Linked DNA regions of Lepisosteus oculatus. The protein of the gene in region 1 purifies or fractionates together with the protein of each later gene. This does not show direct contact. Links are inferred from orthologs where the notes say so. Each region holds a gene or a part of one and is shown in the gene's direction. Other genes may lie near its edges.

The links. Proteins that work in one complex are often made in the same cells at the same time.
Region 2: the proteins of ywhae1 (region 1) and cep170aa purify together in Homo sapiens (affinity purification with mass spectrometry; 3 studies listed by BioGRID and IntAct, with this or other methods). This does not show direct contact. The link is inferred for Lepisosteus oculatus from reciprocal best matches to the Homo sapiens genes YWHAE and CEP170.
Region 3: the proteins of ywhae1 (region 1) and lmo7a purify together in Homo sapiens (affinity purification with mass spectrometry; 3 studies listed by BioGRID and IntAct, with this or other methods). This does not show direct contact. The link is inferred for Lepisosteus oculatus from reciprocal best matches to the Homo sapiens genes YWHAE and LMO7.

What each region holds. Positions count from the first base shown.
Region 1 is NC_090721.1:11,109,521-11,116,767, forward strand, and holds the start of ywhae1 (tyrosine 3-monooxygenase/tryptophan 5-monooxygenase activation protein, epsilon polypeptide 1), read left to right. Parts: upstream 1-4,149; 5' UTR 4,150-4,344; coding exon 4,345-4,408; intron 4,409-5,125; exon of another isoform or gene 5,126-5,158; coding exon of another isoform or gene 5,159-5,195; intron 5,196-7,247. UniProt on the Homo sapiens protein: Adapter protein implicated in the regulation of a large spectrum of both general and specialized signaling pathways. Binds to a large number of partners, usually by recognition of a phosphoserine or phosphothreonine motif.
Region 2 is NC_090712.1:1,042,285-1,050,496, reverse strand, and holds the start of cep170aa (centrosomal protein of 170 kDa), read left to right. Parts: upstream 1-5,136; 5' UTR 5,137-5,341; intron 5,342-8,212. Other genes in the region: sdccag8 (serologically defined colon cancer antigen 8 homolog), read right to left, coding at 1,327-1,409, 3,376-3,498, 4,555-4,618.
Region 3 is NC_090710.1:33,933,796-33,940,953, forward strand, and holds the start of lmo7a (LIM domain only protein 7), read left to right. Parts: upstream 1-4,082; 5' UTR 4,083-4,184; exon of another isoform or gene 4,185-4,227; coding exon of another isoform or gene 4,228-4,248; intron 4,249-4,343; exon of another isoform or gene 4,344-4,364; intron 4,365-4,759; coding exon of another isoform or gene 4,760-4,788; coding exon 4,789-4,857; intron 4,858-7,158.

The sequences.
Region 1 (7,247 bases):
GATGGGGGTTCGGTGTGCGATTCTGTGCTCAGACTGATGGGGGTTCAGTGTGCGATTCTGTCCTCAGACTGATGGGGGTTCGGTGTGCGATTCTGTCCGCAGACTGATGGGGGTTCGGTGTGCGATTCTGTCCTCAGACTGATGGGGGTTCGGTGTGCGATTCTGTCCTCAGACTGATGGGGGTTCAGTCTGTGATTCTGTCCGCAGACTGATGGGGGTTCGGTGTGCGATTCTGTCCGCAGACTGATGGGAGTTCGGTGTGCGATTCTGTCCTCAGATTGACAGGTTCGGTGTGCGATTCTGTCCTCAGACTGGAGGAGGTTCGGTGTGCGATTCTGTCCTCAGACTGATGGGGGTTCGGTGTGCAATTCTGTCCTCAGACTGACAGGTTCGGTGTGCGATTCTGTCCTCAGACTGATGGGGGTTCAGTGTGCGATTCTGTCCTCAGACTGATGGGGGTTCAGTGTGCGATTCTGTCCGCAGACTGATGGGGGTTCGGTGTGCGATTCTGTCCTCAGACTGATGGGGGTTCGGTGTGCGATTCTGTCCTCAGACTGATGGGGGTTCAGTCTGTGATTCTGTCCGCAGACTGATGGGGGTTCGGTGTGCGATTCTGTCCGCAGACTGATGGGAGTTCGGTGTGCGATTCTGTCCTCAGATTGACAGGTTCGGTGTGCGATTCTGTCCTCAGACTGGAGGAGGTTCGGTGTGCGATTCTGTCCTCAGACTGATGGGGGTTCGGTGTGCAATTCTGTCCTCAGACTGACAGGTTCGGTGTGCGATTCTGTCCTCAGACTGATGGGGGTTCAGTGTGCGATTCTGTCCTCAGACTGATGGGGGTTCAGTGTGCGATTCTGTCCGCAGACTGATGGGGGTTCGGTGTGCGATTCTGTCCTCAAACTGATGGGGGTTCGGTGTGCGATTCTGTCCGCAGACTGATGGGGGTTCCGTGTGCGATTCTGTCCTCAGACTGATGGGGGTTCGGTGTGCGATTCTGTCCGCAGACTGATGGGGGTTCGGTGTGCGATTCTGTCCTCAGACTGATGGGGGTTCAGTCTGTGATTCTGTCCTCAGACTGATGGGGGTTCGGTGTGCGATTCTGTCCTCAGACTGATGGGGGTTCGGTGTGCGATTCTGTCCTCAGACTGATGGGGGTTTGGTGTGCGATTCTGTCCTCAGACTGATGGGGGTTCGGTGTGCGATTCTGTCCTCAGACTGATGGGGGTTCGGTGTGCGATTCTGTCCACAGACTGATGGGAGTTCGGTGTGCGATTCTGTCCTCAGATTGACAGGTTCGGTGTGCGATTCTGTCCTCAGACTGGAGGAGGTTCGGTGTGCGATTCTGTCCTCAGACTGATGGGGGTTCGGTGTGCAATTCTGTCCTCAGACTGACAGGTTCGGTGTGCGATTCTGTCCTCAGACTGATGGGGGTTCGGTGTGCGATTCTGTCCGCAGACTGATGGGGGTTCGGTGTGCGATTCTGTCCTCAGACTGATGGGGGTTCGGTGTGCGATTCTGTCCTCAGACTGATATGGGTTCCATGTGCGATTCTGTCCTCAGACTGACAGGTTTGGTGTGCGATTCTGTCCTCAGACTGATGGGGGTTCGGTGTGCGATTCTGTCCTCAGACTGATGGGGGTTTGGTGTGCGATTCTGTCCTCAGACTGATGGGGGTTCGGTGTGCGATTCTGTCCTCAGACTGATGGGGGTTCGGTGTGCGATTCTGTCCACAGACTGATGGGAGTTCGGTGTGCGATTCTGTCCTCAGATTGACAGGTTCGGTGTGCGATTCTGTCCTCAGACTGGAGGAGGTTCGGTGTGCGATTCTGTCCTCAGACTGATGGGGGTTCGGTGTGCAATTCTGTCCTCAGACTGACAGGTTCGGTGTGCGATTCTGTCCTCAGACTGATGGGGGTTCAGTGTGCGATTCTGTCCTCAGACTGATGGGGGTTCGGTGTGCGATTCTGTCCGCAGACTGATGGGGGTTCGGTGTGCGATTCTGTCCTCAGACTGATGGGGGTTCGGTGTGCGATTCTGTCCGCAGACTGATGGGGGTTCGGTGTGCGATTCTGTCCTCAGACTGATGGGGGTTCGGTGTGCGATTCTGTCCTCAGACTGATGGGGGTTCCGTGTGCGATTCTGTCCTCAGACTGACAGGTTTGGTGTGCGATTCTGTCCTAAGACTGATGGGGGTTCGGTGTGCGATTCTGTCCTCAGACTGATGGGGGTTTGGTGTGCGATTCTGTCCTCAGACTGATGGGGGTTCAGTATGTGATTCTGTCCCCAGACTGACAGGTTCGGTGTACGATTCTGTCCTCTGATAGGGGTTCGGTGTGCAATTCTGTCCTCAGATTGATGGGGGTTCAGTGTGCGATTCTATCCTCAGACTGATGGGGGTTCAGCGTGCGATTCTGTCCTCAGACTGATGGGGGTTCAGTGTGCGATTCTGTCCTCAGACTGACAGGTTCAGTGTAAGATTCTGTCCTCAGACTGATGGGGGTTCGGTGTGCGATTCTGTCCTCAGACTGATGGGGGATCAGTGTGTGATTCTGTCCTCAGACTGATGGGGGTTCGGTGTGCGATTCTGTCCTCAGACTGATGGGGGTTCGGTCTGTGATTCTGTCCTCAGACTGATGGGGGTTCGGTGTGTGATTCTGTCTGCAGACTGATGGGGGTTCGGTGTGCGATTCTGTCCTCAGACTGATGGGGGTTCAGTCTGTGATTCTGTCCTCAGACTGATGGGGGTTCGGTTTGCGATTCTGTCCTCAGACTGACAGGTTTGGTGTGCGATTCTGAGACTGCCGGCCTGGGAATAAAACCAGCAGGCAAACATGAACAAGTAGACACAAGAGGAAAAACCACAGAGTGGAATTTAAAACTGAGAACAGCAGGAGGCCCTTCTCTACACAAAGAGTCGTGGGAGTCTGGAACAATTTATCCCACCCTCTTGTCAAATTTGATCATCCCAGCTCCTTAAAAGGAGCGACTGGATGAGATCCTTCGATCAACTAGCTACTAGCAACCCAACAAGCTAAATGGGCTGCATGGCCTGCTCTCATTCGTAACCTTTTTTCTGTTGTTAATAAAATGAAATCAATATTGAGCGGGCCCTCCTTCCCTGCTTGTGGCTGCTAATGTACCACGTGCTTCTCTGAGTGCTCCTGCAGCAGCTACTCCTGAGGGAGACACTGTGCCTTCCTGAATCATCCTCATAGCCTGTGGAAAACAGACACGACTGTAATTTCACATAGCACGTCATTTTTACAGGCCTGCTTACTTGTTGTTGTTCTGACTTGTCGTTCTTGTTTGCTTCATTAATGTTAACACCGGATGAATTAATTGAACAAAAGAATAAGCCTTTCTGTTGGTTGATATTTCACACTCTACATACAGGGATACAGCCTCAGCTTTTTACTGAAGCTTTTCTTCAGAACAGATCAGAAAAACTGTGGGAGACGGCTTTTAGGGTTTTTTTAGTTGTAAAAAAGATCTATTTACCTGTAATGGACAAATCTGTTTTTTTGACACATTGATTTTCATAATTTTAACACAACTATCTTGTGAACATTTGTTTTTCTTTTAAATGACGCTTCTATGTTGTGCCATATTTTTCAGTTAATTTTATTGCATTTTGTAGCATTTTTCATCCCCCTAGAATCCCAAATCGAAATTGTGTTCACGAACAGAGGACTTCCAGAAGAAGTCCGGGGACCACATAGGGATCCCCGAAACAAAGGGAGCCCCTCTAATCCCCAATCCTGTACAGTGCTGTTGTGTAAAACTAACGTCCGCAGTAGATCTGCCCTGACGACGATGACGGAGGTTCTGCTGGCCTCTGTGTTTCTTTCCAATTACAAATCGGTTTGTCACACAGTAATTACAGTTCTCGACGGAACCGCCTGTGAAAGTCCGGGACCGGTGTCGCAGTGACGGGAAGGCGCCACATTCCCAACCGACACAGCTCGGGCTCCTTCAACTGCCGGAGCCCCGCTCGCGGACTCCACGCTCTTCGCTTCAGAGCTACGCGCACACTCGCGCGGGGACTCCAATCTCCAAGTTTCTGTGGTTGCCAGGGAGCGGTTGCTATGGCTGCGAGCTGGTGCAAGAAGGGAGGGGAGAGCGAGTGAGCGAGCGAGCGCAGGAGAGAGAGAGAGGGTGGTGGACTGGGTTAGTTTCCCGGATGGAGATCCATCGCCATCTTTAGTCCAGTGCTGCCGGTGGAGTGGGGACGCGCTGCTGCTGCTGCTCCGCCAGGAACCGCCGATCGACTCACGCAGACTCGCCCGCCGCCGAGCCGCTTCTCCACAGCCAGTGCAGACACCGCCACGCCGGCTCCGAGCAGACATGGGAGACCGAGAGGACTTGGTGTACCAGGCCAAACTGGCCGAGCAGGCTGAGAGATACGACGGTAAGAGGGAGGGGAACCAGGGCGGTGTTATTTTTGGGGAAGAAATCTGTATTTTTCTCCTTCGCTGCCGAGCGCCTTCCTCGCCCTCCCTCTGGCGGAGGGGGGCTGGGGGAGAGGACAGGCGGCTGAAGATGGAGTCCGGCAGAGAGACAAAATGGCGACGGTTTCACGGGGGGCAGACGGGCTGTGCGGCGGGGAGGGAGAGCGGCGCCGGGCACACGCCCCACGGACACCCGCGGAGACACGGGTGACCGCGGGCGCCCGGCAGGGGACAGCGAGACCGTGCGGGTCCGGAGCTCTCGGCGGGGGGGAGGGGGATCGCGTCCGCTGTGTTGCAGCGAGGAATTGCATCCAATTTTTGCGAGTTTGCAAAATGGCGGCTAACAATAGTAGATAAATTAGCGGAGGGGGGCGAGTGCGGGGCGGCGGGTCCGGCGGGACTCGGGCGGGAGCCGGGGCGGGGAGACGGGGTTTTGGGCCGGGAGGCGCGGCCGGGCGCAGTCCGGGGCTTTTTTCCTCCGGGGGAGCGGCGTCGCTCGGGCGGCGGGGAGGGGGGAGGGTGTCCGGCGTGCAGTGGGGTCCGGCTGGCTTTGTCCCCGCTGGGGCCGGGCCGGGGGCGAGGCTCGGCGAGGGCAGCCGGACCGCTCCGCTCCCCGGGGGGCAGGGAGAGGGGTGGGGACACGGACCGGACCCCGTCTTCTCGGGGCTGTGGCGGCGGCCGGGGTGCTTCAAAATGGCGGCTGCAGTGAAATGGGATTTGGTCTGACACCGAGGTTTCCGAATGGAGGTGGTTTTGAATTTTGATCTTTTCAAAGAGATCGTCTTCATTTCTGTCTGGTCTTGCGCTCTCGCGTTCGTCTGCGCGTCCGGCGTGACACACGCCCAGCAGAAACGGGAGCAGACCGAGTTAGATTAAATGTTTTATAAATCCTCTCTGATATCAGAGCAGAGCTCCGCGTGTTTTGAAGTGAATGTGACCCAGACCCGTCTTATTTGATCATATTTAGTCAACCGTTTGGTTGTGTGTGGCGGGGAATCCTGCGTTAAGTAATGGCGACCCTGGATCTTCCCCTCGGCGGCGCGGCAGCTGTGGAGCACCGTGCCCTGCGTGGGGCGCCGAGGTGCCGACTGGGGTTTAGCCCGGAGCTCGGCTGTGGGTGTGGTAGGGGCAGGGGTCCACGCCGCGCTGGGCTCTTGCGCAGCCGGCTGCAGGACGGATCCCTCCGGCTGCACGGCAACATCGTCCTGCGGTTTTCACGTCCTGGGCTGGGATCGGGCTCTTTCGGAAGGGGGTTGTCCGTACTGTGTGATTTTAAACCGGAGGGAGCGGGGGGCTTAAGATGGCGGTGGTTCGCTCAACGTCGTAATTGGCTGGAAGCTGACAATAAACAGAAGAGACGCGGTGCTTGATTAATGCCCCTCCGTATCCAAAGCTGTGAGCCGTCGTGCACGGAGCCACAGGTGACCGAGAGCTGCCGAGAAGCCCGTCGGCGATATTACGGCATGTCTGCTGCATGCTGGAGTGGTGAATGGCGAAGGCTCCTCCCTGCTGTCCGCCCGCAGTTCATTCATTACAGCAGCCGCCGGCCGCAGGCGCTTTTCCTGCCTGCATCGTCGCCCACAGCGGCGCTCATGTGCCCAGTCCTGATTTTAGCTGGTTCTGGTCGTCACCCCTCTTAGGCAAACCACAACCATCATGCTGCGGTTCTTTTCTCTGTCTGTCCTCTTTGGTGCAATACTAGCATACACAAATAAACTTCGGGATCCAGTTGAAAGCTGGATGCTTTGGGGCTGCTGTGTGATCATTCGAATTCCGCTTCTGTGTGTACATGGGCAAATCTGCCCCTGTGATGACCTTACCTAAATTAACTGAGAACTGACAAGGGTTTGAAACACCCCATCTCTTCCTCTCGGTGAGCTGTGGGCTGGAGTGACAAACACGTGCGTTGGTGCAGACCTAGGTGTACAGTTACAGTTGTGCGCCTTACATCAGATCCTGTGAGGGTTTGAGCCACATGCTGCTGCTGCCCCCTGCCATTCAAACTAGGCCAGTGCTGCTGTCTGCGTTATGGAGGGCATCCACAGAGAATGAGGTCACTGTTTGAAAAGGCCATTTAAATGGGTCCACGTTTGTGGGCGGTGTAATGAAGCATGTCAGAATGGTGTGGCTTCTTTTTCCTAACTGGATAAACTGCAGGTTCTTGCAGCTCTCCTCACCTGTAAATGGGGACTTTCAGATGCAAGTGTGGAATTCCATTTCTGTAGTGCTTTTCTTCCCTGAGTATCCCAGAACACTCTGCATTTAGGGCAGGACCCTCTTCATCCATCAGTGAAGAGCAGCCCTACCTGGATGACGCACTGCTCAGGCGAGCAGGAGGGAGGAGTGAGAAACTGCTGCACCAGTTAAACTAAGGGGGGCCTTAGGGGAGGGGGGGACAGACTCTGTAAATCCAGAATGGAATTAAACTGGGTTAAAACCTCATGTGGTCTTCAATGAGCAAGTATCAGGACTTCCATTTAACACCCAGAGGACTGCAGCACTCTCTCCTAATCACCACAGTGGGCCATTGGGATGTTGGTTTGGAATTGTCTTGTAGAAAGAAGAGCACCCCCTACTGGTCCACCATAACCAGGTTTTCTGTCTGCCATACCAGTACTGACCTGGCCCAGCCTTGCTTAGCTTCTGAGGTGTGGCAAGACCACATGGTGCTAATGCTGCTGTCATTGTAACCTGTAGTGTACTTCTATTGTGTGTCCCTAAGATAATGTGAATTGTGTATGGCTTTGAATATGGAACATACGATTTTTTCACCTTGCAGTTGTGGAAGAAGCCTACGAA
Region 2 (8,212 bases), on another chromosome or scaffold:
GATGGAGTAACAGAGAACTGTGTGCTGCACTCCTCTATGAAGAATGAATGAGAATGAAGAACAGAAATTGGAATGACTTATCATCAAGGATTGAAAAAGAAATCTCGAGATTTCAACGTTGTTTAGTCGACTGCTGTATAATAAACTATCACAAACATTTATATATTAAAAATATTACTGGACTGCATTTGAAATATTTTGACCTGTGTTCAGTGTCAGCATGAACATTGTGAATCTTTAGATAATTGATTTTATATAATACACATAGTTTATACAGTATTCAGTATTTCTGATCCATTTCAGCTATGCCCGCAGTAACCCAGTGTCTTGTGGGAAATGTAGTTTTGACATATGGGACTTCATGAAAAGGTCAGAAACAGTATTCTACTGTTTAAATTGTTCTTACACCATTTTAAAAACCCAAAATAACAATTATAAAATGGCTAAAGAACCTAAGCAATTTTAATAGCATTAATATGTATACAGCAATTAAGACAAGTATTATTTGAAGCCATTTAAGCAGATATAAACATACTGTACCAAATGGGATTTCATGATTATTAATGGTGTTCCAAAAATGTATTTGTTAATTACATATTACATAATTAATGAATAGATTAGTTTATGTATTGAAATAGTCTGACATACTCTAAAGATTATTAGAACTTTGGCACTGAATGTGAAAACTATTTTAGTTGAGAGAAATTATATAGCTCTTTAACAGTGACATAAATGTATCTTATGTGCAAGAGTCGGCTGATATTTCAGTCGAACTCAATACAATATAAGCAAGCTAAGACCTTACACTTCAAACAACATCTCCTTTCTCTGTACGTTTGTGCTTATTTCAGACATTTTACTTTGTGAGAAGCTGAAAGGATAAATAGAACTCTTTCTGATAATTTGCAGCATTTAAAATGTTTTAAGGAAAATACTCTTAATGTGAAAAGGTTAAAAATGAGTAAAACATTTTTAAAGAAGCAACAATTATTTCTGTGTCAATGTCTCATAATTCCCATTGTAAAAGTCACATTAGTTCATTGTTCAAATGTAAATGGTTTAAACTATGCAAATAATAACAGATAAAATATTAATTTTCCCACATAAATCATTAAAAAGCCGTAATATTGTCTCCAAAATTTCCTGGAGGGACTGATCAGCATGTGTTGGCGATCAGCACCGATATGAGAGCCCATTGGCAGGCAGGCTCTATTGCTGAGTGTGGCGAGTGGCCCATGACATTGCACAGTTGTACATTGGTCTGAACAGGCCGGCTCGCTTAACAAATCCGACTGCGAGGGCGGTTCGCAGTTATGCTCTCTGTACCTTGGGGGAAGACTTCTCCCTTGAAGGGGAGGAAGGTAAGGACTCCTTTTCTTGCTTGCGTAGCAGGGATCGTAGCTGATTGACTGCAAAACATAGAGAACTTTTCGTTAGCGTGATTATATTTTCATTCTGGTGCCGCCATATGCTACTTTTGTGAGAAACAGGCATTTCACATCGCGTGCATGTTGGTACCGATAATGGGCATGTATGGTAATGTATTTCCACACTTTCAAAGCATGCAAGAAAGGTTAGAGACAAGAGGGATCCAGTTGGGCAGCTCATTTGTTAGCTACAGCCAATTGCTCATTCATTTCATCAGAGAAGCCAGGTCAATAGCATTTACAACACGACTAAGTGACATCTTCCAGACCTCCACAGCCGTTCAGGTGAGGATGCGCCTCATGTTCTCAGTTCAGATTTTTTTTAAAAATCACTACTCAGAACATAAAGTCTTTCATTTCTACAGCAAACCTCTCTTTTCAAATCATGTTAAAGGCCTTGAAGTCATCACATAAGAAAAATACATTTCAGTAAGATATCAGTTTCAACATATTATCATACATTGAGACACAGGAGTTTACACACACTCCCGTTGCTCTGCTACAACACAGAGAGAGCACGGAGAACATCCATGGCCTCAAACAGCTGTGGAAACAGTGATCACGAAGCCACAGCAATGGGATCACTGGCACCAAGTTTCGCATGGGCAGTGACCGTTCTCCAGAGGCAGCCATCAAACACTCAAGGACTCTGGGATGGCAGGAATCGATGCAGAATTCACCTCTGGCCACCGAATTCCACGGCAGCCACAGAAAATTACTACCTGCATGCAGGTTTGCTGCAGCATCAGTGAAGCACCTGTAGACAAACTTGACTGGCCACATAAAATGGGCCACAGATGAGATACCATTTGTCTCATCTCATGTCCTGCTACTACACCTCCTTGTAGCTTATACTTTTCAAGGCCAGCAGCCATATCACCCTGCAACTCACAATTGGCAACCCACTGAAGCTAAGGAGGTGTGAGCCTGGTCAGTACCTGGATGGGAGACCTCCTGGGAAAAACTAAGGTTGCTGCTGGAAGAGGTGTTAGTGGGGCCAGCAGGGGGCGCTCACCCTGTGGTCCATGTGGGTCCTAATGCCCCAGTATAGTGACGGGGACACTGTAAACAAGCACTGTCTTTCGGATGAGACGTAAAACTGAGATCCTAACTCTCTGTGGTCATTAAAAATCCCAGGGTGTTTCTTGAAAAGAGTAGGGGTGTTACCCCGGTGTCCTGGTCTAATTTCCCATTGACCCTTAACAATCATGGCCTCCTAATAATCCCCATCTATGAACAGGCTTCATTACTCTGCTCTCCTCCCCACTGATAGCTGATGTGTGGTGAACGTTCTGGCACACTATCATCCAGGTGGATGCTGCACATTGGTGGTGGTGCAGTTGAGTCCCCATTACATGTAAAGCGCTTTGATTTGAGTGTCCAGAAAAGCGCTATATAAGTGTAAGCAATTATTATAATAATTATAAGATCGGTGCAGTAACTCTTAACAGCATTGTCCAATGCAATCCCTCTCTCCAAACCCTGATGGTGGCATCCTACCAGCAGCTGTTAGTGTGCTGAGCTCAAGCAACGCAACACTGAGGACAACACACTCCTGCACTGAATGAAAGCCGACAACTTTCAAGGTCTGTATCCTGCTGTAAAACACGACAGGGAACACGACTGTACCTGAACGGTTCTAGCAACACCTGCAGATAACATAATGCAATTTTCCAGGACGCCACTAACTTCTTAAGATATTGAAAACAGTTTGAAACTTGCTCTTCAAATGGGAGACTGAAAACATGAGATTTTAAAGAGCTACAAGACTGGCTTTTCATTCAGCAGGGTTCAACTAAGTATCTGAGAGCCCAGTGAAAAGCAGAAAACAGAAGGAATTGGGGTTCTTCAGGCCCGCAGCTGTGAAGTGAGGAGCTGACCTCGTGTTTTCTCAGACCTGGGGTTTGTCGGGCGTGCGCGGTGTCAGACCGGCGGGCGCGGGCCGTACCTGCGGCGCTGTGCTGCAGCTGGTGCCAGCTGTCCCGGGACCCCGCCTGCTCCGCGCCTCGTCCCGCCGGGCTCCTGGGCCCCAGCATGCTCCGCAGCTGCCGGGCGCTCCTGCTGGCTCGGTCTGTGGAGGAACAAGCCGGGTGAGTGACACCGCAGCGAGCCTGTCTGCCCCTCCCGTGAAGACCCGGGTGGGCAGGGGCCGGCATGCGAGCTCAGCGAGAAGCCCTCTCCTCCGGAGGAAACAGGAATCACAGCAGGACGGCCGCACGGTCTCAACAGCACGGTTCTAAACACTGACAGCAACACAGCAACGGCAAGAAACCTTGCACAATTAAAGACTGTGTTGAAATTGTTTTTTCCCCCCACATTGTTTATATAAAGACCTGACAGTCTCCTGCAGCCAACAGGGGTTAATATGACTATTTATGTCCTTACAACAGATTCATAAATAAATGACCCTATTGCATAGGTTTATATGGAAAACCGGAACATTTCTATAAAAACCTAACAGTCACCTACTGTACAATATATAACGTATTGAATTAAGGGATGCTTTCGTCCAGGGAAATACATTTTATTCTATCATTGTATTAGGATTAATGTAAAGAAGCGTACATTTCAAATTATTTAGAAAAAAAAAACATTTTGATGCTATCTATATCGAAAAAGATTTTTCATTTTTATCCAGTAAGAAAAGGCCTTGCTTGCATTTCCCCGGGGTTTGGCTGCAAAGCCTTTCCAAAGGGATACTCTTCCACTCCTTGAGGAAGGAGCGTGTTCCTGACAGCCCAATCGATCCGCTGTATAGGTGCATGTCTACACCGCGAACCCATAAATATTTATATCTGCTGAGTCGCATTGATCTGCCGAAGAGCACGTAAATTATAGAAAGCAGAGACTATAATTGAAGAATATTTAATAAAGTGTAATAAAGTATTTTATCGCTGCATTAAATCAAAAAAACTCAACTACACCATACGTTTATCGTATCACTGTATTACGTTACCATACAAAGTAGCAAAGAGGCTAAGCGATATAATTGTAAAAAAGTGTAGATGTTGCCGGTAAACGTCAACTGGTATGCAAGCCGTGTAACTGTATTTTCAGTTTACAGACACCATTATAAGCATCCCTGTACATCTGGTCATTAGAATCGAGCTGTTCCTCTCCTGGTCACCTCTCAGAGCCTGTTGGTATTGCTCCAGCTCCCCGTCATCCTCGGACTCCACAGTGGGCTTCATGGATTATACAGACCGGCTGGGGGGCACGAAATTCAAGGGCAGACTTCACACCCGCACTCGCGTTCCCGAGCAGAAGCTCTATTTTATTTACCCCAAATTTTTAACCGAAGAGCCTCAAGCACAGCCAATCGGTGACGCGCCTGCCACTTCCTCAAACTGGTCCCAGGTTTCCTTGGGAATGGTAGTGCTCTTCGGGCGTCAGCCTAACGTCCTCAGGCGGAGAATAGGAAACGCAGAAACTACAACTCCCAGAGTTCCGCCGCGCGTTGCCAGGGAGGCCGCCGCCATGCTGCCCCTAGCTACTGAGCATTCCGTCGGCTTGCCAAAAAGGCGACCCCTCCTCTGCCTTGCTCTTTTCACGATTTCCATAGGTCCCGGCTCACGTCAATCCCCCGGAGTCCTGCCTACTCCTCCGCTCTCAGCGGCGCTGATTGGCCAGAAGCACCCTCAGGTTGCGACGTCCGTCCCCGTTCGTGCCAGCGATTGGTCCGTGCGGACGCCCGTCGGCGTGGAGGCCGCGCCCAGAGGGTCGGGCTGGAGCTGCAGGCGCCTGCGGGCTCCGGCGCCGTTATGCGAGGAGCGGCAGCGTTATTGCTGAGCAACCGAGACAAATAGGCGAGCAGCCACATACAGGGGCTGGGCTAGTCTCTGTGTGAGCGCATTGTGTATATACGGCTATAGTGGAGTGGACACACGTATACACTCACAACAGTCCAGAAAAGGGTAAGTAGGAGACTTGGCTTCTTATTTCTTGTAAGGATGCGTCGTTAGTTTAACGCTGGTCGGGTTGGCGAGAACAGGGCTAATAATAAAGCACAATGCACTTGAATACTGAAACGCTTTTCTCCGTCTCCATGTCTGTGGAGCTCGCAGCGGTACAGTCTGGCCGGGACCCCCCGGCAAGCGGCTCTGCCACACGGGCGGGGGGACCGGGGAGTCTTCTGTCTGCTCGGGGCCGTCCGGTTAGTCCGGTTCTTTCCAGAAACGCGTCCCCGGTGCAGGGGGTGTTCCTGCGCGGCGGTGACACCTCGGCTCTGCTGGGTGAGGGTGAGGGGGGGCGCGGTTAGCCGTCCTCGTGAAGGCGATGGAAGAGAGGCAGGGGCGGATAGGGGTCCCCCCCCCCCCCTCCCCTCCTCCATGTGCGAGAACCCCCCGGTCTGTCGGGGTGCGGGGAGCTCGGGCGAGGGGGCGCTGGGAGGATGTTGCCGGGGTGCACGGCCGCACGAGGCTGCGGGATGAAGGAATGAGCCATTTCCTGCCTGCTCCCAGACGGGCTGAGTCCTGAAGATGTCGGGGGGGCCGGGAGCGCAGAAAATGGATCCATCTCTTTCAAACGTGCAGCAAAACAGTGGAGAATGTAACGGGAACAGAGACTGGGTCCCGCCAATCCGCTGTCAGTTTTTGTCCTGACTGCCCCCCCCCGCACACACACACCCCACTCCCAACATCTGTGGCGCGGATGGCTGCAGACCGACGTTGTTTTTTTTTTTAATTGTTTGCCGACGTTTCATCTGGTTGGCACAGTACATAATATTTCCGAGGCAGTGAAACGGCGGTTTTGAGGGAGTGACCCTTTTTCGGGGAACCCCCCCTCCCCCGCGCACCCCCGAATAAACGGGCTTTTCCAGGGGACCGTTACTCCAGTCCCGACCCGGTTGGGCGTTCACAGATTTGGTCTGTGCTCTGGGTGTGAACGAACATGCCCTGTGTATAATGTGCATGGGCGCTGTTGGTTTTGCGGGGTAGCGGGGTACCCCGGTTTCTGTTAGTGTGGCACCAGCAGGCCCGGCTCTGTGCCGGATGGACGGCGTGGCTCTGCTGTGTGGTGCGGGGCCGCCGAGAGTCCCTCACCCCCACGGAGCTGACACTGGGGTATCGGCTGTCAGAGGTGCGATATCAGCCGATGTCGGAGAGATCCCCTTGCGTTTATCGCTGAAGTGACAGTGGAGTAATCACAGCCAGTGTGTGTGGAAGTCCTGGGTTTGTGCCAGTGCACGTCACAGCCCGCCTCTTCCTCCTCCTCCTCAGTATTTATTTAAGAGAGACGGGATCCGTTACCAGCCCTGGGCCTATCAGATGGAGGACATCCTCCATATCCTGACTGGGAGCTCTCTGTCAGGCCAGGAGACACGCAGCGCCGCTTCAGAAGGTGTTAACTACAAGCTGCACAAACTCAAATGTTTTTAATAATGACATTGTTGTGGCGGAGAGTTGGTTTCTGAGTGCAGACATCCCTGTTCTACACTGATTAACGTCCTTGGGTTATAGCCACAAAAGTCTTTTTTTTTCCATGGCATGTGTATCTCCAGGACAGGACAGAGCTGTGTGTGATGTTCAGAAAAGATTTCTTTTTTTTTTTTTGATGTTTCTCATAAGCATTGCTCGTCTGACAGATCGATTATGTCCATCTGCTAAACAACTTGGCCGTGTGGCCAAGGTTTTTGTTTTATTCCAGTTTTAAACGTATCTCCGGTCGCTCTCCCCTTGCCAGGGAGGTGAGGGTGAACCTGAACACTGGTAAAGGTGTGGTGTGTTGCCACTGGTGTGCAGGCGGAAGCTGGCCTGGGTGTATTTTGAGTGCTGTGGAGCTGCAGAAAACATGGGGCTGCTGAGGTGAAAATGCTCCTCCTGGGCTGTCAAATGGTCTCGCAGCTCTGCCGTATCCTCTTAGATGGAGTCGTCTTCCAGCCTGGTGGTTTTGCAGTGACAGAGGAGGCAAAAAGACCATCTGAACACGAGAGGTTTTTTTTCTTGCCGTGAGAGGTTCTGTGGGTCTCGCTCGGCGTGGCAGCGAGAGGCCAGGAAGAGACCAGCGCCGGCCTCCCTGCTGGACGTCCCGTTTGAAGGAAGCGCAGACCTGGGCTAATGGAGCCGGAATGAGGAGAGCTGACTCCAGCTCTTCCTGCTCGGTCAGTCCAATCCATCATCCTCACAGCTGCTCGATTCGGGATTCTATCGCAGAGGTGAACCGAGCCTTCTCTGCGACTGCAGTCACTCAGTGTGACTCTCAGGTAGCCGCAGTGTGTGAAAGCTGTGAAACGGAGCCGTGCAGTGTGCTGCACAAACTGTCCCTCGCCCATGGGCTCGTTGTGTTCTTGCCAACCTCTCCTGCTCTGGCCGCGCGGCCGTGCTCTGCTCTTTCACGGGTGAGACCCGCGCAGCCTGGGGCGCTGGAGCTGGGCAGCAGCGGGCCGGCGAGCCCCGTCTCAAGCGGCAGGAAGTGGGCGGAGATAAGACGGGCTCCTCGGGTCTGGCGCCCTCACATCAACACCGTTTAAAAAGGAAACCTTGAGGCGAAAATAAGACCTCAGAGGAATCCCGATTACACACAGAAATATCTCTGATCAGCCCAACACTTGAAGATTCTTAATAAGTAAGCTGCTGTATGTAATCCTGTGGGTCTCTGTAACTGACTGGAAGGAAACGGACTGTAACATTACATGATCATCCAAATGTATGTATTACATAGTATATAACATAGTGTATACTGGTTGTGCAGTAACTCTTTGCAAGGTGTATTGAATTTTGGGCATCTCTGTTTTGTCTGATTGTTTCATCTTTGGCCCTTACTGGTGAACAAGAGAAAGAATTTAA
Region 3 (7,158 bases), on another chromosome or scaffold:
ATAAAAAGGTTATCACAGCATAGCACTTACTCAGTGCATTCAATCAGTGTGATGCTTGTATTTAAAGTATAGTTCTGTTTAACTGCAAAGCTTAAACAAGGTTTTCCCAATAATGTAGAGAAGCATCACAGAAGGTTTCTTATTTTTAGGTAGCTGTTTATAAGAATGTGTGTATGTATTTTTTCCCCATAAGAAACAAGTTCTCTGCTTTTACTTGAGACCAAAGATCAAGGCATTATTTCAGGAAACTGCATAATCTGTGTAAAACATATTAACAATGGAATGCAGTAAAAAAGCTGACAGCTCATCAGTGCTTTTCTTATCTACCCCCTTTAGTAGGGTATTTTGCACCTGTTAAAACGTGGTCCAAAATTAGAGTGATTCTACATATATTTGATTTTTTCAGGCTAAATAAACACTACTGTGTCATTAGCCATTGCGTCGTTTCTATTTAAAAATACAGTTTAATGGTTAAAAACAGATTCAGCAAAACCATGGAAGAAAAAATGCTAAAAGGCACAAAAAAGTGATTAATGTTTTATTATTAAGATCGGAAAATAATAAACTCAACAAAAAGTATCTTTAGAAAATTTTAAGTAGGAATCAACTTGAAAGGACTGAAATGTGAGCTAAGAAAAATAGTAAATAAAGTCATGCTCTGCTTGAGGGAGTGGTGAAGGAATCTATTCCGGTCTGACCTTAAAGATCATCTGGGGACTCGTTACACAATAACGCTATATATCGGTTGGAATCTTAAACAATGGCACTCTGTAATAACAGGATCAATTTTAACTTTCTTCAGTGTTCCGGCACAAAAGTCATATAAGCCATTGAAACCAATGAAAAAGTATGGCTTTCACAATTTCAGAAAAAGAGTTGAACATCTAAAGAGGTAAGGAAAGACAACAACATACACTATAGTTGGCTTCAGGTAAGGTTTTGTGTGAAAGATCCCATTTCCTTGTAGTGAGTTTTTTCAAATATATCATCCATCCATTTTCTAACCACTTCTTCCAGTTCAGTATTGCCTGTCCTCCAAGCAACATGCTCCAGGCAGGGTACATCCTGGATGGGACGCCAGTGCACACAAAATACAGACAGATACACACTCACACCTAAGGCCAATTGTCCCAGAAGCCAATTAACAGACCAGTGTGTTTTTCGACTGTAGAAGGAAACTGGAACACCTGGAGGAAACCCACGCAAACACGGGAAGGACATACAGACTTCACACAGACAGAACCCCAGGTCAGGAATTGAAAACAATTTGCCTCTTGGAAGTAATCAAGATGCTGTCTTCCAGGGCCCCAGTGCCACCGTGTCTCCATATACAAACATTTGATTACAGTTAATTACAAAACCTGGCATACAAAATTGGGTCCATGGCCATATCACAAAGCATCATATATGTCAATTTTCTTCTCAGGTAACTAATCAGCTTTTGAATTTTATGTGCCTTCAAACATTCCAACAGTTTTGTCAGCTGTGAGTATTAGTATATTGGAGTGAAAGGCAACACCTGTTGGACTCAAGTGCTCAGGTATGTGCTCCACTCATTGTTTACATTTTAATTAGGTCACGCCGGTTTTTCTACATACTTGAAAATCTTTAGCATTTTCCATGGGTGTGACATTCTTTGTTCCACTCATAAGTAAAGAAACTGGCTTTTTTTCAAATGCTGAAACTCAATAATAATCAACCGTTGTGCCGTTCCTTTAATTACCTTCGAACCTTTGTTCTTATTCATTTTGTTTTATAGAAGGTTATTGTATAGCAGAAGCATTTAACCCTTCATCTAAAAACGCAAAGAGAAAGCCATTTCTGGAAATTACAGGGATTGTGTTAACCAAAGGAAGGCTCTTGCAGATGCTTGTAGAAAGCTAAAAGGAGACTAAATTGGGGAGTGTCAGTTACTGACTACTCATTGAAATCCTCAGGGTGGTTCCTCTTCTACATGAAAGGCATGTTTTCGGAACAGTCTACCTATTACGTGTTTTATCTTCTTGCCAAGGATGAGACTTCTTCCCCATTCCAGTGTTAACGGAATGTTGAAGACGGGCTAAGATTTTCACAGAACTGTGATCTGAATTAAAGAGTAAAGGGGTCTTTATCAGGAAGGTTCTGATGTACGGACACAGGCTCGATGCCTTTGTGTTCTATAAGTTAATTATTTTATAATTATATTACAATATAATATATGCATGAATCCAGGAGGCCATGGGTTTTATGAACCAGCAGACCTACTTCAGTTACAGCTTTTCAGTCCGTAGCCTTTCACATGCTTTTCAGAAGGCAAGAGTGCCTTGTGTCATGATTTGGATAATATCTTAAGAAAATATATCGTACTTTATTACGTCATTAGTTATTTGATTGTTAGTGTTTTGAATTTTTACTTCTCATTTAAATTATTATTCAGATTTTGGTTCTGATATGCAAGTTGTATTTATTATAATCAAAATAATTACCCTAAAAGGATCAATATCACATATTTGAAACCTAAGAGGAAGCCAGTGCAAGGACTGTGAGGCAGGAGTGATGTGATTATTAGCGTGAGGCCTAGTAAGGATTGTGACTGCCTAACTCTGAACAAGTTGTGACGTTTAAGAGGCTCAGCCACATAGGATTACAACAATGAAGCCTTTAAACACAAAAATCTGAACCATTTTTTTTGCAGACACATGAAGGATCAATCCCAAGGCTAGTGCCCCCCATCTGACAAGGTGTTGTGAGAAGACCAATAATAAGAATTTCAAAATATTTTGTAAGACTTTTTTGTCTCAGAAATGCAATCAAAGAGTACTGGATCAGCTAACTCTGTCAGGTTTAGGGTGGACATACAGTAGATTAAAATATAATCTGCATAAAACTGATAAAAACAGTAAATGTAATTGTAATATTCCATATTTCAACACGGGGGAATATATGAAAACTAAAATACTTCTTATCACTAGAATGCCTACATTTATAATATCATGTACAATATTGGTTACCAAAACAAACATTTTTTGTTGCTCTGAAATCAGTCTAGAGCAGAGCAACCAAACACATTAAGGGGTCTTAGCGAAAATCCTACATAACAAGCTAAAAGAGACACATCTTTTTTCAATCTAAAATAGACTAGTTTACAAGCTACTGTACCTGAATACAACATGACATTGAATACAGGAATGTGAAATCCTCAGTCAATGACAAAGTCAACCAGGTGATCTTTCTCAATATCAACAGTGAAAAGTGGACTCGAGCTCACAAGTGGAATTGCATTGAAATCCAAGAACAGGAGGCATTTTTACACAAAGGGTTGTGCATGTATGGAACAAGCTAGCCAATGTTTTAAAGAAATAACTGGATGAGATCAACTCGTCTGCAAACTCTTATGTTGTTAAATGACAGAGCCTTCAGATGTCAAATTACCTGTGATTAGACAACACGGATGCACTGTACCCAAGTTTATCAGAGAAAAGAAGCCATCAAAACAAATAAAATAAATAAAACGTCGATGCTCAAAGGGGTAAAATTTAAACCTTTTAAAGGTCACGTTAAGGGCAGTACCAGAGATGTCATACCAGCTATAATTTGATTTAATGGAGTAAGTAGAATGTCATTTGCATAAGAACCGGGATATTAAAAGAAGATTATCAACTTTAATAAAGAGCATTTTCAATGATCTAAATCCAGACTGAAATAGTTCGAAAAAAATACTTTCAGTGAGATGACCATTTAGTCTACACGACGGTAGCGCATTCTATTTTTTTTAATTTTGAAATGGTCTTTTTACGCTCGAGTTTTTCGCAGATTAAACGGACAATTAAAATAATAGTTCAAGTAGATAATTAAAATAATACACCATTTAATTAACTGCACCCTACTAAAAAGCAATGTTCGGAAAATGTCGCCAGGAATAAACCGAGTAATGCAGTGCTGCTGTTTTAAATTTAACTTGAAGGTGTTTTTAATCTTAGAGGTTTGGCATCTGGTTTTCTTTGCATGTGTACTAACACTGATAGCGCTTCCTCCGGCCCTGTCTCCTCTGCGGCACCTACAGAAACTTCAGCCGTGTTTCGCCAAGTAATCACTAGAGGGCGGGACTTCCTCCCGTCAGGGTTTTTCAAACTTTTAAGTTCAGTACAAGTAGTCGACCTGGTTTCTGGACCTGCAAAGTGTGTGCGGCTGAAGGCTCGTCCAGGGTTAGTAGTGTTTTCGTGACTTCTCCGGCTGTTGGAGAAATTCATGCAAGACTGCGGGCATCAGGTACCGGGGGACGGAGGGTGGGGAGTTTTACCGAGCAGAAGATACAGGTGGGAGGCAGAGAGAGCAGAGCAAGACGGTCTGTGAAGCTGCAGACGTGGGGATAACGGGAAACACCTGTATGTGCATTGAAAAGTTGCTTTTTGGGGAGTGGGGAGCGTAAAACGTATTCTGTCTGTCTTGATTAACTGGAAAGTAGTGCAGAACTAAGAGTATTTTAGCTACAGAGCTCAGACGTATGTAGGAAACATGTAGGTTAGGGCGTAAGTTTCAGGTGAAGCGTTTTCAAGTTACTATGATTCCATCGCCAATACTTTACGGACTCGTATATAAATATACAATGGTAGAGTACCAGTTCAATGAGTATTTATCTCAGCTAGCATAATCACAAGACAGCTGTTACCTTTGGTTCTGGGGTCGTGAATTAACAATCAAGCGCAGGATTTATTTTGCCGTTGTAAAACTAATATTTTGACCTCGTTTTCTTAATATCCTTGGGGAACCGCGAACAAAGGATTACAGAGCTGCCAGGATTACTGCGAGATGGAGTGGAGAGAGAATTCCAATGTCAGCTGTGATTTGGCTTTTGCAGAAGCTCAGCGATGGATGGAGGTACAGAGCGTTTAATTCTAGCAAAATTACTTTTCCCAAAGGCAAAGCGCCTGTTTTGTATTCGGTTAAAGCACGCTTTTATTTTCCTTCGTTGTATACTTGTTCATTTGAGCGTTGGTGAATGACAGCAATTTTTAGTCACCGGGTTGCTGTAGATTTGTGGAGAATATACATGTAAAACTATACGAGCTCTACAGAGTTAATGTTTGATGCTGGCAAAGTTTCACTGAAGTCATGTGTGTCTGCATACCTACTCTGGCATCCAATCCCAGACCAATAAAACCGGCTTGTTAAAGCTGCATGGTTCGAGCTTTCTTTCGGAGTTATCTCAGTATCGCTATCTCCACTCAGTAATCTCTTGCTTGGTTTACCCCTCCTTTGAACTGTTCTATGAATCATGCGAACCTTCAGCTATTGTCTCAATTGCTTAACTTACCTGAGATCTCTAAGGAATGTGTTACCAAGCATCTGAAATCTCTTGAAAACGTTTCGCGTGCAATGTAAGCAATTGCAAAATAATTGCTACTCTGTGGTTCTAGAAATCGGGAGAAGGCAACTAAAAGAGAGATTTAGCGGTGTACAGTCGTCTAATATAAGAATTTAAATTCTTCATACAAAGTAATTTATATCAAATCTGCTAGCCCTCATCCTGTACGTTCTTTAGACAGACTGACGAATACCTTTTGAGAACAGACACGGCTTTAAGTTTGCTGATGACTCTGTTCTTGTCGGTCTCTAAGATGTAGACATTGATCATGAGCCTGTAGTGGGTTATTTTGTCGGAAAAATGTAACAACACATCTTTCTTTAACTTATCGTTTTAGTCGTTAATTATAGGAAGCAACTACCCATTGCAAAACCAATAGTCATTGAGGAACAAGAAATTGACATCGTTGTCAGTTATATTTTGCACTATCGTTGATTATAAGCTTAAAGTTCAGGAAATTACGGATGCTCTTTTCTGAGGAAATTCTGATTATTACAGAGAAAGCTCTGCTGTTTAAGTGTGTGTAGTACAATTAAGCAGTCTTTATTCTATGGAAGTTTTATTGACTCTGTTCTGACATTCACTTGGTAGCCTGGTTTGGTGACCTTAACACACGCAATAAGACTGAGCAGGACAGTGAAGGTAGCCAGCGAAGTCTTGGGTGCACAACAGGTACAGCTGGGAGACATTGACATCAAACAGTGTGGAAGGCCAACATGATCGATGGCTGTCATGACCACCCCTTACACAGTGTATTTGAGCTCTTTCCATCAGGGTGTTGATTTAGACTGCCTAATTTTAGTGCAAATAGTTATTCTTTATTCCTTCGGCTAGCAACCTGCTTGAATCTGAACAACTCGTGATATTTTACTATTTTATGTTTTATTGTCATGCATACTGTATGTCTTATGTATCTGTCTCAGCCACTGATGACAAGGTTTATTTTCCTAAATTGTGAAAATTACATTTTCACAATTACAAGCTGCAAGCTTGTTTTCCTTTCACTTTATGCATGTATGTTTCTTATTTGTAAATGAGTTAAGAAGTGTTAAATGTATTGTGTTGTAGTGTTATAAAGTTCGAGTAGGTAGCTGCTTCAGCATGTGTTGGCTGCAATGGAATGGGTAAACATTTATTCCATGGTCAAAAGACAGGAGATGCAAAGTTTTGGACAGCCTAAACATTGTGTCTCTTTTCATTTCAGCATGGAATAAACCTTTACCTGTTCCTGTATTGTGTTATGTCTTGTATTTGCCTGCAATGCAAATTTCCCATGTGGGACAACAAAGTCCGTAATATTGCAAGTACCATGATGCTAGGAAGAGGACAGGGGTGGCTTACTACAGTACATATCTGGAGAAGGAAATGGAACATGGGATGAACAAAAAGCTCTATATAAGGACAGTGTTCGCTCCAGGCCCCCTGTAGTTCTGGGACTGCAGTAGACTATTTATGAGCATTCAGTTGGAAAGCACCCAGTTTAATTAAAATTAAGATGTATTTGGTTTGCATGGAAAATGTGTTGTGCAGTTAATCAGCTACTCTTTTCCCATTAGCATTACTGGAAAGTCTTGTCCAGGTTTGCTCTAACAGGACCAAAAATGAGCAAATGTTCAAGGCAGAAGGTATTGAAGGCATTTAGGCTTTTCATTGCAAAGTTAATGTGCAGCATTTGCTGTTTTGTGATTCACTAAGTTACCACACTATCCTTTGGTCTGGCCAGGTCTTAATATTTTTTTTTGGGTAGGACATGGTTGGTGTCCCTTTCATTAAGAAGTAGTGAACATTTGCACTGTTGCTCCAAGTTAAACACA